2 linked regions of the Yarrowia lipolytica genome follow. The protein of the gene in region 1 purifies or fractionates together with the protein of each later gene. This does not show direct contact. Links are inferred from orthologs where the notes say so. Each region holds a gene or a part of one and is shown on either strand. Other genes may lie near its edges.

The links.
Region 2: the proteins of YALI1_D14329g (region 1) and YALI1_C24460g purify together in Saccharomyces cerevisiae (affinity purification with mass spectrometry; 3 studies listed by BioGRID). This does not show direct contact. The link is inferred for Yarrowia lipolytica from reciprocal best matches to the Saccharomyces cerevisiae genes BFR2 and ESF1.

Annotation. Positions count from the first base shown.
Region 1 is NC_090773.1:1,430,678-1,437,237, reverse strand, and holds YALI1_D14329g (uncharacterized protein), read left to right. Parts: upstream 1-4,276; coding exon 4,277-5,764; downstream 5,765-6,560. Other genes in the region: YALI1_D14391g (uncharacterized protein), read left to right, coding at 1-3,272; YALI1_D14333g (uncharacterized protein), read right to left, coding at 3,403-3,924; YALI1_D14304g (uncharacterized protein), read right to left, coding at 5,906-6,560. UniProt on the Saccharomyces cerevisiae protein: Involved in endoplasmic reticulum to Golgi transport. Involved in a protein-transport step blocked by brefeldin A, which disrupts the Golgi apparatus and its incoming protein flux. May also be involved for mass growth or cell proliferation.
Region 2 is NC_090772.1:2,444,468-2,450,256, reverse strand, and holds YALI1_C24460g (uncharacterized protein), read right to left. Parts: upstream 4,217-5,789; coding exon 2,336-4,216; downstream 1-2,335. Other genes in the region: YALI1_C24488g (uncharacterized protein), read right to left, coding at 1-1,390; YALI1_C24434g (uncharacterized protein), read right to left, coding at 5,022-5,789. UniProt on the Saccharomyces cerevisiae protein: Involved in the 18S rRNA synthesis. Required for the early cleavages at sites A0, A1 and A2.

The DNA.
Region 1 (6,560 bases):
TGTCGTACGAGCTCGAAACTGCTGGATACAGAAACATGAACCCCAACCAACGACACACAATCCTACTGAGAACTCTCAGTACCATGAACGACACTGTCGGAAACCTGGCCAAGATTTGTCGCGACACCCCAGCCCTGTTGGAATCTGTGAGCAGAGAAAAGATCCATGAACTTGCACAGCTTTGTCTTTCTTTCCTGCGATTATTGCAAGTGTTCAACCAGTTTTACGACCGGCGAAACCCCGAGGAACCTACCCCGTTTCTGTGGGATAAAGCGAGTGAAAAGTTCCAGACCATGATGGTCAAGCTATGGACGTTCTTCTACCTTTTGTTCCGTCAGCTGACGAACGGCTTGGATGAAAATCTTCCCCAGACAACTATTTCCACTCTCAACGATATCCTATCTATCGTACATGAGGATCTGGGTCATCGCAAGTGCTGCAGCTTTGCCAACGGCATCTTCGTCGATCTAACTCTGGACGAGATTGTGCGTATGAAGTGGAACGAGTCCGAGGCCGATTTGCTGCAAAACATCCGGTGCAGATTCGGTATCCAGTTGGCCAACGAGCACTACCATCCTACAGACCATGGCGCCACACCTCGTGCTCTCAAACGTTCCGATGGCTTGGCCTTCCAGGATTTCATAATGAATATGGTCTATCGCAAGCCGTCCAGTGTGCACAACATTCGAGCTGATCTGCGAGCGGTGATGGACCAGCTTTATGAGGCCATTGGAGACCCTGACAAGAACATTGCCTCCACCAGCCACAACATGACTGTTCTTGGCCGGTTCACGGTGGCCCCTGTCACCTGGAATTATATAGAGAACAGTCTTCGGGGTGAGTCGTTCTTACCATTTATGACGTCAACTGACCCGGTGCTTTCCGCCTCAACGGGAGGTTTTTACTGCGTTCAGGGAATGTTGGCTCTTGCCAAGTTTCGACAGGGTAAGAAGGCAGCTGCTCCAGGACGAACAGAAGACCTCCAGGCAGCAGTTAAATTCTTTACTAACGACATTCTCTGCTGCCCCACTCGTTATGAGTCATGGTTCGGTATTGCCAACGCATACGAAATGCTAACGGAGGACGATCTTATGTGGAGCGCAGAGAAGCTCGATGTGCCCAACTCCATTGTCAACATCAACCAGCGCAAGGCCCTGCTGTGTGGTCTCAATTCTGTCAATCTCATGCTTCAACAGCGGGACGAGAAGCCTGCGAACCCGCAGTTGCGCACCTTTTTCAACGCTGTCATGAAGGAGTCGCAGTGGTTGTTCCTCAGCAAGCTCTTCTACTCTGCCACGGCGAACCCTCTGCACGGTGCGTCTTTCAGACAGGCAGACAACAAAATCTTCTGTGGTATGAAGGGTCTTTACATGCGGCAGAATTTGTCCCTTCCTCGTCGCAAGCAATGTTACCAGGTTGTCCGAGCCTGTCTCACCATCAGTATCAACAGCAAGGACCAACCCCCGGACTGGTACTCTTATTATCTCCGATCTAAGGTGTACAGCAAGCTGAAAAAGACCACCCAAGCTATTCTCGGCGACATTCAAAAGTCCATTGCTGTGGCACCCGACAAGATTAACGGAGACATTCTTCTCGAGCCTCATTACAAACTTGTAGCCTACCTTTACAAGGCCGTAAAGCGAGGCAAGTTGACCGCTGCAGAAGCGTACAAGGAGTTGAAGAAAACCCCCCACTTTGTCGAGTACTTGGGAGAGGATGCTGACATGGAGTCTGGAGACGACTCTGACTCGGACTCTGAGGTTGGCTCTGATTCCGAAACTGAATCTACCAAGGAGGGTCCTATTGCATCTGCTACTGAGCCTGCCGCTGATACTGCTCCACCTGTTGTACCCTCTGAGGGAACTTCTGGATCTCCAATCTCCATCGATGACGCTACTCCTGTTCCTGGGCCCGTTACTGCGGTCACTGCTATTGCCGCTCCCCCAACTGTGGCTGCTAAGCCCGAGGAGAAGAAGAAGCCTCTGACTCGCATGGAAATCAAGTTTTACAAGTCGTGCATTGAGACATTGCGTCGAATGAAAGTGTTGGACAAGCGAAAGTGGCACCACCGGCCCCCGTTCCTGATTGCTCGCATCCACAAGGAGGTATTTGAGGATTACCGAAGTGCCAAGGAAGAGATGGTGCCGTTCTTTAACCTCAAGAACCAAAGCAAGGCCCCCGTACACATTTGGAAGCCCGACTTTGAGCGAGCAGGCAAGCATTTCCAGTACGTGTTTGACTACCTCATGTTTTTTATTGTTCTGCTAGACAAGACCGACGACACGGACGCCATCACTACCATTGGCAAGAAGCTGCGTCGATTCAACAACGGCATGGTGAATCATTTCGAGGTCTGGGAGTTCACGTGTCTCACGTCCAACGTTCTGATGAAGCGGGTTACCAGGATCCCTGAAAAGCTGCCGGACGCCATCATTCCCTCATTGCAGTTTGACAACTTTGATCGCATTGCGCAGGGTCTGCAGGATAAGATCACCAAGAGCAAGGAGCCGGCTTCGTATCTGCTGTCTTTGCTGTACTATGCATCTGAGTTCAGACGGCTGAACAACGGCTTTGGATCCACAGGTGTAGTGGATGACACAGTTGTTTGTCTGTATCTCAAGATGCTCATTGAATACGCTGGTACTTCACTACTGGCGGACAACAAGAGCCGCTCATCTACGCCAGTGGTTCTTGATGGAGCCAAGTTTGAGTTTCAGCCAGGCAGTGCCCAGCCTCCTGCTCTTCCTGCTCCTGCTACTACAGCGACCACTGCTGGAAAGAAGGAAGATGGCAAAAAAGAGAAGACGCGGGTTACTCGAAAGGATATTCTTCTGCGGGCCACCAATCTCATCAAGGCCTGCTCCAACAAGGTGGGTGAGAACATCAAGCTCGTGACGACCAAGGGTCCTCCAGCTGTGGCCTCCAGTAATGGTTCCTCAAGCAACAGTGGCACTCGGTCCAATTCGGAGGAGAAAGAAAAGGAGCCCACCGAGGAGCCTGAGAAATCTACCCAGGACTCGGATGTAGAGATGGCCGATGCTAACCAAGGCAACACAGAGACCACTGTTGAGCCCGAAGCAGAAGGGGAAGCTGACAAATCTGCGGAGGAGGACAAATCGGACAAGTCTGCTGAGGAGGAAAAGACAGACAAGTTTGCCGAGGAGGAAAAGTCCGCATCTGCCGAGCCGGCTGGTAAGAATACGCCTAAGAGCAAGTCGACTGGTTCCAATGGTGTCATAACCATTGATGAAGAATATTCGGCACCTGAATAAGGATTATGATTTATTAATAATTTACACGTAGAAATACAGTACTTGTACAAAACACAGCCTGCAACTTATAAGTTAGCCCTATCACACAACCATCTTGTGTGTGTGTGTGTGTGTCTCTCTCTCTCTCTCTCTAATCATCATCGATGGCAGCAGCCGATCTAGACACTCCCCACTTTTCTCGGTCTCGTCCGTCTTTGTACATGTTGATATCTTCCTTGGTTGGTTTCTCCATGGTTGCCTGTCTGAGGTTCTCATCTTTCAGGGCCTGTTCTTCCTTTTTGCGCTGGTCCGATTTCAGTTGCTCAACTGTGTATTCAGCAAACGCCTGAGGCTCAATTGCTCCACACAATAGTTCCACGGCTATTGTGGAGTTCTTACTCTTTAAACTCACCAGGCGGGTTCGGACGGCCGACTTGTATTCCGGCGAGATTCCGTAGAGGTCAAAGAGTCGCTGTTCGACCTCGTTTGCCACCTGAGTCGAGATTTCGTCGTCCTCCTCGTCTTCGTCGGCGGCTTCTGCCAGGGCCTTTTGCAGCGACTTTTTCGTTCCGTTTCGCACCTCCATGGGCGATATCGCCGACACCTTTTTTGTGCGCGCCTCGGCCTGTGATTTCAGGTACTTTTGCTTCCAGTTAGTCGGCAGCTTGGCCATGTCTATGTGGTTCTTGAGAGGAAGGCAGGTGTGTATGGAGGGAGCTTGGATAACTTGGAAGAAAGGTGCATGAGACAGGCATGAGGGATGCTGGGATCAGGTTATGAGGAGTGGTGAATGGAGAGATTTTTCTGTGTTCCAGAGCAACAGTATGACCAATCAACATCTTATGATATCACCACTGTGGCCGCCGTCTCATTTATCTCTTTCATTCCTGGGCTAGTCTCTGCCTACTGTCCAGCTCGTCATGGGTTACCCTGCATATGCAAGATAGCGAAATTTTGGCAGGTCTGGAATTTTTTTTGACTACAGTTTGACAGAGTGCAGGCTCGACTTGAAACAGTACACAAACATGGCGAAATTATCTCTGGCCGAGCAGATTTCTCAACTGGCTAACCCCAAGCCCAAGGATGTGGATATCGAGAACTTTGAGGACCGTGACGATGGTTCCGAGAGCGGTGGAGACGTGGATTACGACAGTGATCTAGCGACAGAGCACTATGTCAAGGTCGGCAAGAGCAAGCTGCGAGATGATGCTCCTGCTCTAAACCCCAAGTACAAGGCCGGCAAGGTGAGCAGGAAGGCTCTTTATGACGACGAGGACGAGGACGGCGATGGCGCTGACGGTTTCATTGATGAGGACGACGAGGACGATGAGGAGGACGATGAGGAGGGAGAAGGCAATGGTTTCATTGACGACGAAGTTGAGGTTGATGAAGAGGACCAGGACGAAGACGGAGATGAAGACATGGAGGATGAGCAGGATGAGGACGAGTCTGACGAAGAGCTGTCTGAGAACGAGAATGACAGCTCGGCTAGAGCCACCCTCAAGGAGCTGCTGAGGGAGGAAAAGAAGGCGTCCAAGCAGCAGGCCAAGGAGGCTATTGTTTCCGACGCACAAAAGGGATTCGCCATTCACAAACAGACCGATCTATACGAGACACTTCTGGACGCGCGAATCACATTCCAAAAGGCAGTCCAGTCTGCCAACGCTCTTCCTATCAGCGATACTAAGGCCGAGGAGCTCGGTGAAGACATCACCAACACTCTTCAAGACACAAAGGCAAAGTTGTCGGACTTCATCTCCCAAATAGCCAAGATGCGACACAACATGGCTGTGCAGGACAATGTGTTTGCTGCCGACTCCGTCAAGCTATCGACCAAGCGAACTTTTGATGCCACTCTGGATAACATGGACAAGCTGGATACAGAATTCAAGGCATACGAGACTTCTGTGCTGAGCAAGTGGTCTCAGAAGGTGCAGGCCTCATCTGCGGCCTCCGCTCTCAACTCCTCCAAGTTCAAGGCTCTGAACCAGTCTTCTGCCAACCAGGTCGCTGCTACTCTGGCGGACATGGACCGACTTGTCAAGCGAACTCGAATGAATCGATCCAACGTTGTCATTCTTGGCGAGGAACAGATGGGCGCCATTCAGGACGCCGAGGGCGAAAACTACTACATCTTTGATGACTCAGACTTTTACCGAAACTTACTCAAGGATCTGATTGACCGACGAATGGTGGATTCCGGCTCTCAAAGCAGTGGCGTCAAGACCTGGACTGCCACAAAGGCCAAGACCAAGAAGAACGTGGACACAAGAGCATCCAAGGGTAGAAAGCTGCGATACCATGTGCAGGACAAGGTGCAGAACTTTGCTGCTCCCCGGCCGGTTTTCACCTGGGAGGACGATCAGATCGACGAGCTGTTTGCCGGTCTTCTGGGGCAGCGAGTCAACTTCAACGAGGACGATGATGGAGAGGAGAAGGAGAAGGAAGAAAAGGAAGAAAAGGAGGAGCAGGAGTTGGTTATTCCCGACGACGGTCTCCGAATCTTTGGTTAGTATCAGTGGTTTTAGCATGGGGTTTTAAGTAGATGTACTTTAATAATAGAGGCAGGTGCCAAATGAAAATGAAGAGTATACAGGGCGTATTAAGTAGTGTAATAAGAATAAATAGTAGTAAAAGTACAGTATATACTGGCATTATTGTTTGGCCGGTTTCTTGATCCCTCTGAGTTTCAATTTCGGCCGTGGCTTAGACTGTAGCGTTCTGGAGAGCTCTCTAGTTTGTTGTGCAAGTGATCCTTTCTGCTTGGTAGAATCAAACAGTCCACCGTGGGATAGAGACTTCAACCTGAGTTCTTGCTCCGCCACTAAACCCCTTTCCAGGTGAGGAACCATCACTTGCGCTTCCTTAGCAAGAGGTAGATCCCGCAGAAGTCCCATTTTGTCCTTGAGAAGGTTGTCTCTTTGGTCTTGGGCTTCCAATGCGCGTTTTTGACCTCTGAACCTGTTCCTCATCTTATATGACAGGTCCTGGTGGTATCTGGCTTTGTCCAGATGTTCATCATACATTTTCTGTGTCTCTTTGGCCGCGTCATCAGCCGAAAGCACCGACGATTTGAAGGTCCATTCAGCGATTGTCTCTCTGCTGTCTTCGGACTTAATATGACGTTGTTTGAGCTCCTCCTCGGCCTTTGCAGCCCTTTGTTTGACGACTTCACGCTCGACCGCCTCAAAAGGGTTGCTTGGAGTTTCTTCCTCTCTCTTCACAACCGACTGTGTGAAGGTAGCTCCTTCTACGGTCACGTAGGTAGCGTTCTTCGGATCCGTCTCAATGACAATGGGATGTCCACAC
Region 2 (5,789 bases), on another chromosome or scaffold:
TAAATGCATCAGCAACAATGTTTTTGTAGCTGTCCAGCAGATATGTCAGTACAATGGCTCCGGAAGAGCCGAATCCGAACATGATGATGGCGAATCCGAGAGTGGGCACCATCCAGTGGACCCCGTGGGCAATGGGAAGTCCAAACAGAAACAGTCCGATTGTGAGAGTCAGGTTTGCAGGAATCAGCCCATACAGTCGCATTTCGGGTTCGTACTGCCCTCCGTTGCGTCTGGACAGCCAAATGATTGTCTTGTCGTTGAACCAGCCTCCGTAGACAGACCCTAGTGCCATTCCAATGAAGGGAGCAATGTTGATGTTTCCCAGGGCGGCGGAGGAAAAGCTGTAGGGAGGTTCGGCAAACGCAGATGCCACCGTAGTAGCTGCCATGGCCAACCACGTGAGCATGAAGCCGTATTGGATGGCCACAAAGGTGACGATTGGGTAGGCAAACAGCGTTATAAACGGGGTGTACATTTTCCGACCAAATTCTCTCCAGCTTCCTGGGGTATAGGTGACCAGAGCCAGGCGTTTGGACAGAGGGTTCTTCTGGTACTGGTAGGCGTTTCTGGAGGAGGCTGAATCGGAGAAATCCATGATGACAGACTCCGTCGAAGGAGACTCCAAGTTGCGGACTATGTCTTTTGCGTCCTTGTTGCTCAGATTCTCCTCTGGCCTGTCTTCTTCGTCTTCTCCGACCCCCACCAGGGTCTCTGTTCCGGCTGTGTATTTTGTTTCTTCAAAGAAGAGCAACGTGGAAAGAAACTGGGCTCCGGTTATGACAGCAATGATTCCGTAGACCCATCTCCACCCCAGACTCATGGTGATATATCCCGCCGGCACCATGATGAGAAAGTTGCCAACGTCCACCACCACCATGTAGATGCCGTTACAGGTGCCTCTTTGGTGCACAAAGTAGAGATCGGCCACCGTCATTTGAATTATGGTCTCAGTGACACTGGTGGCCATACCTTGGAGCAAGCTGGAGCCGTACAACTCGCCCACGGTCGTCATTTTGGCCATCCAAGCCGCACATGCTAGAGCTATCGCCGAAGATACCAAATAAACGGGCCGTTTTCCAAACTTTTCCGCAAACGGGATCATTAGTGGACATCCCAGACCCAGACCCGCCACCGACAGCGCGTATCCGTTGTTCTGCTGGTCCAGAGTCCATCCCAACTCCTGATTTTGAGGCGTCCAGAAAACCGTCGATACACAGTTGGCGGTGAACGCCATGAGCGTAAAGAAACAGACAATGAACAAGTTTGTGTGTTTTCTCCACTTGGACCAGTTGAGCGGCTCGTTGGGATCGGCTGTCGGAGTGGGCTGGAGAATGATAGCATCGGAAGCATGGTTTTCCAAGATGGTGGTTCCCGGCGGTTCGTGCGACATTTTCGTGGAGTCTTTTTTCGTGCAATGGCGACCCCGCAGCGCGTCCAGGGTATATATACCAACAAGTAGGGCTAGATCGACTTTTTTAACTCCATTGATCCGCTATCATGGCCGCAGGGTCTTATCTTGCTTCCCAAAAAAGACCTTGTATGCCATGTGAGACATTCAAGGGCTGAAATAACAGCAGGTTCGGGCCAAAATCGGGCCAAATCGGGCCAAATCGGGCCAAAAGATGAGCTCGAGATTTCTTTCGATGATTATAAAAATCTGGTCCTTTTCTTCTCCACCTCGGGTGAAAACCACTAGTTTCCATTCAACACCTCCTTCTTATGTCCATCGCTGATAAGACGCAGATTAAATACCAGTTTGGATCCACCAGTTTGGATCCACCAGTTTGGATACAAGTTGAGGACCAGTGATTTCGAAAAGTGAATGCACTTTCAAGTACTTGCCCGTCATTTCAACTACATTCTACGTCTCATTACACCGATACTCCCCTACTATTGTCCTCCTGTCCTCCCCCTTGTTAGCGCTAACCTAGCCCGAAATGGCTGCATCCAAACGGTCACCAGAAGTCGCTAGAGGGAGCTTTTTTTTTTTTTTTCGTCTGAGGTACATGGAAGAGTTCTATGCCGGCAGTTTGACTGGAACAACTGTTTTGATGATGAAAAACTGAGACCTTGAACCCATCCCGACGGCTGTGACTCCTGTCGGGCCGAAACTCTACATCTATCAGTCGAAATGTATCCACGGAGTCATGGTGACTCGGCGGCGGGAAAAATTACCACAACGGTTTACCCACTGTCAGATTGCCTAAAGTACTGTACTGTAGTGTAGTAATATGTACTACTACTACTACTACTGTATGTACCGTACCACCAATATCTTACCTCCATTATCTATATACCAACCGCAACAATCACCTAACTGCTTGGTTTAGTCCCCCTACTGGTTATCCTTTTGGTGCTTTCGCTTGATTCGCTCAACCAGACTCTCCACACCCTCGCCGGTCTGGTCTCCCTTTCGCTTCTTCTTCTTGGCAGGCTCTCCAGATTCGCCCTTTCGCTTGACACCTCCCTGACCTCGGTCCTGCCGCTTTCGGCGCTCATCTAGCAGCTTGTCCATGGCCTTGGTTCGAGTGAATCCAGGCTTGGACGGATCAATGGCAAACTCGTGGTCGTCGTAAAGAGCCGAAAATCGAGGATCGTCGACCGGCATCTCGAACTTGTCCTCCACAAGACCCTGCTGTCTGTACTTGGACTTCTTCTTGGCGTTTTTCTCGGCCTTGATGATCTCCTTCATATCAAAGTGCTTGGCGTCGGTCTCCTCGTCCACCAGCAACGCTAACTGCTCCATCTCCTTCTTTTTCTTTTCCCGCTCCTTCTTGCCCTTGTTCTTGGGCTTCTTGGCCTCCTTCTCATGCTCCTCATCCTCCTTGGCCTCCTTGGATTCCTGCCACTTTTGGATTCGGGCCGTTCGTCTCTCCTTCTCCTTTCGCTTGTACTTCTCCAGCGTGGTTTCCTCACCCTCCTCCTTGGGCTCAGCAGCACTCTTCTTGGACTCGTCCAGTCCGGGGGTGAAGGTGATTTCCATATCCACATCCTCCTCTCCATCCTCGTCCTCGCCCTTGTTGATGCCGGTGCCCTCCAACAAGCTCTGGTACTTTGCCTTGAGATCGGCCCGCCCCTCCTCGTCAGACTCGCTGTCGGATGCTAGGTAGGCCTTGAGCTCCTCATTATCCATTTCCTTCTTGTTGAACGCCCGCAGAGTCACGTTCTTTCGTTCGGCCGGAGTCTCATCCCACGTGAGCTTCACCTTGGAGTGCTGAAGAGCGGCAGTCTCGAAATCAGACGGCTTGTAGTTGGTGGGAACCCGTGTGCACTTGTCTCGAGGCTCGTCGTCAAAAGTCATGTCCGAAGGCACGTATCGCAAGTCGAAAAAGTTGGCGGTCGACTCGTACTCGGTCCCGTCGCAGTTCTGATAGATGTTTCGGGCCGTGGCGACATCCGAACACACAATAACCGCGTAGTAGTACCGCATTCGCTGCAACTGGTACTTTCGGAAGCTCTTGGAGTTGATTTCCTCGCCGTCGTCGTTGTTGAGCAACTCCTGTTTGATTTTTTCGTCGTCGTCCGAGTCGTCGTCCGAGTCGCCAGCCCGCTTCTTCTTCTCCTCAAACAGCTGCGCGTCCGGTCCATTGAGCTCCTCCTCGGCCATCTTCTCCTTGCCGTATTCACTGGGATAAATGGCCACAGACTTGATCTCGCCCTTAGGGGGGATGAAGCCAGAAAAGGTGGCCATCAGGTCGACCGACCGCACGTGATCCCAGTCCAAATTGACCGCCGCAAGAGTGGTGCTCTCGTCGCCGGTGGCAATGTCCTGCGAGTCCGCCAGCACCACCTCTTCCTCCATCTCCACCTCCGAGTCCGAGTCCGAGTCGTCGTCCGAGTCTGAATCGTCGCCCGAAGAGGCGTCAGAATCGACTCCTTCTCCCCGCGCTCGGTCCAAAGCAGACAGAGGCTTCTTCTGAGCCTTGGTCTCGGGCTCCTCGGAGTCTCCCTCTTCACCGGACTCCTCCTCATCGTCGCTCAGGTTATACAGCCGCTGCAGCTGCGCGTCCTGCTGCTCCAGCTTTCGACCATACTTGTCGACCTTGGCGCCCTTGTGAAAGTCCTTGTTGTGGAGCAGCTCCTTCTTGAACCGCGAGTCCACTGTCACCTTCATGTCCTTCTTTCGCGGCATGTAGAACCGCGGGTCCGAATGCACTCCCGCAAATCGCGGGTCGTCGCTCACGGTCTTTCTCTCCTTGTTTCCCTTGGGTGGCATTTCGCTCTCTGGTGATATGGTGACGATAGCTGATTTGCAAATGAAAATTGAAAAATGAAACTTGAAAATTTCAGATTGTGCAGATAGTCGAATTTTTTATAGTTAGACTTTGGACTTCTGCATCATGTCCTCGCTATGGCGAGAATTGGCCAGACAAGTGCAGTGCATGTAGCAGATAATGAAGGGTGGAGGTCGCAGAGCCGTCTGTGGTCCAATCAGGTCCAGACTCGAACAGCTTCCTTTTTCCCCTTTTCCCCGGTCCCCGATGCTCGCATTCCGCGCCGATTGGAGTCACACTAATGCCGGACTCTCAAAGTGGCAAAATTTGTATGGATGAAATATAGGATAGTAGCACAGCCACGACCAGGAGATCCCCAGCATCATTTTGGTACCATAAAGTGCATCTTGGTGTTCTCCTAGGGTTGAGAGAAGTGGATAGTTGGGCTTTGAATCTTGAGTTTAGAACGGGAGTAGCAAGTGCCATAAACCAGCTTACTATAAGTAGGGCTCCGTTGCTGTTTTCGGGGCCTCATTTTATGATGGAACGTCAGGACGAAAGCGAAAAGCCCTCCAAAGCAACTGCTTCTATTGCTAGCAACAACGGAGTTCATGAGACCGACAAGAAGGTGATTACTACGACCCAGGAGCAAGTTGGGTCTGTTTCCCTTGCTGATTCACACTCCGAGTCCCGCAACTCGTCTGAGAAACCAAACTATCTACGTCTTTTGTGAGTGGATGACAGGGTTGCAATACTGGTGCTTTCTCTCAGCTCATTTGTACTTGTAATTTCATCAATACACTGTAGTTACTCGTCGCTAGCTCTCAATTCAATCTCAAGCAAGTAATCGAGTCGGATTTGAGACGCGTCAAACACAATAATCTCGTCGTTCATGACTCCGCTTTGACCAGCCTTGGCCCAATAACTGTGGTAACCTTCGGGGGGGTTGGTACTGACAGGCCCCTCGGGTGTAAAGTAGTTTCCCAGAGCCACCGACGCCAGAAACATGTAGATGGTCTCTGGTTTTCCGCTTCCATCTGAGGTCCAGAGCATGCCGTCGCAGTAATTGAGCGATTTGGACGACTGGTTGGCGAAATACAGACCGTCCCCAAACATGGCACCCACCTTTTGACCCGGAGACAGTTTAGGAAGAAGCAGGCCCTTTCCCAGAATAGACAGAATGTTCTGGAGACGGGTTCCGTGCCACAGTTCCTGCACGCACTTGATTTTCTTGGAGGTGGCGGCAAAAGGGGCCTGTTGGGAACCCAACTTGATCTTGTAGATGTTCTTTACCTTTGCACATTTGGCAGTGTAGCCGTGGATCTGGTTTTTCGACGATTCAAACATGGTGTTGATTCTGTTGAAGCTGCGTTTGTCGGTCACGTGCTTGACCTCGACGTTGAAGGTCTTTTCGGCGTCCGTCTTCTTCTTGGTGGGTTTCTTTTCCGATTCCTCGGCTGCCTTCTTTTTGAGGTCTTCAATCAGTTTAAGGGTTTCCAGCAGAGCGTCACAGGTGGCCTTTTGCTCGTCAATGGCGGTCTGGTTGAACAGCAGGTGTCTGATTTCGCGGGCGTT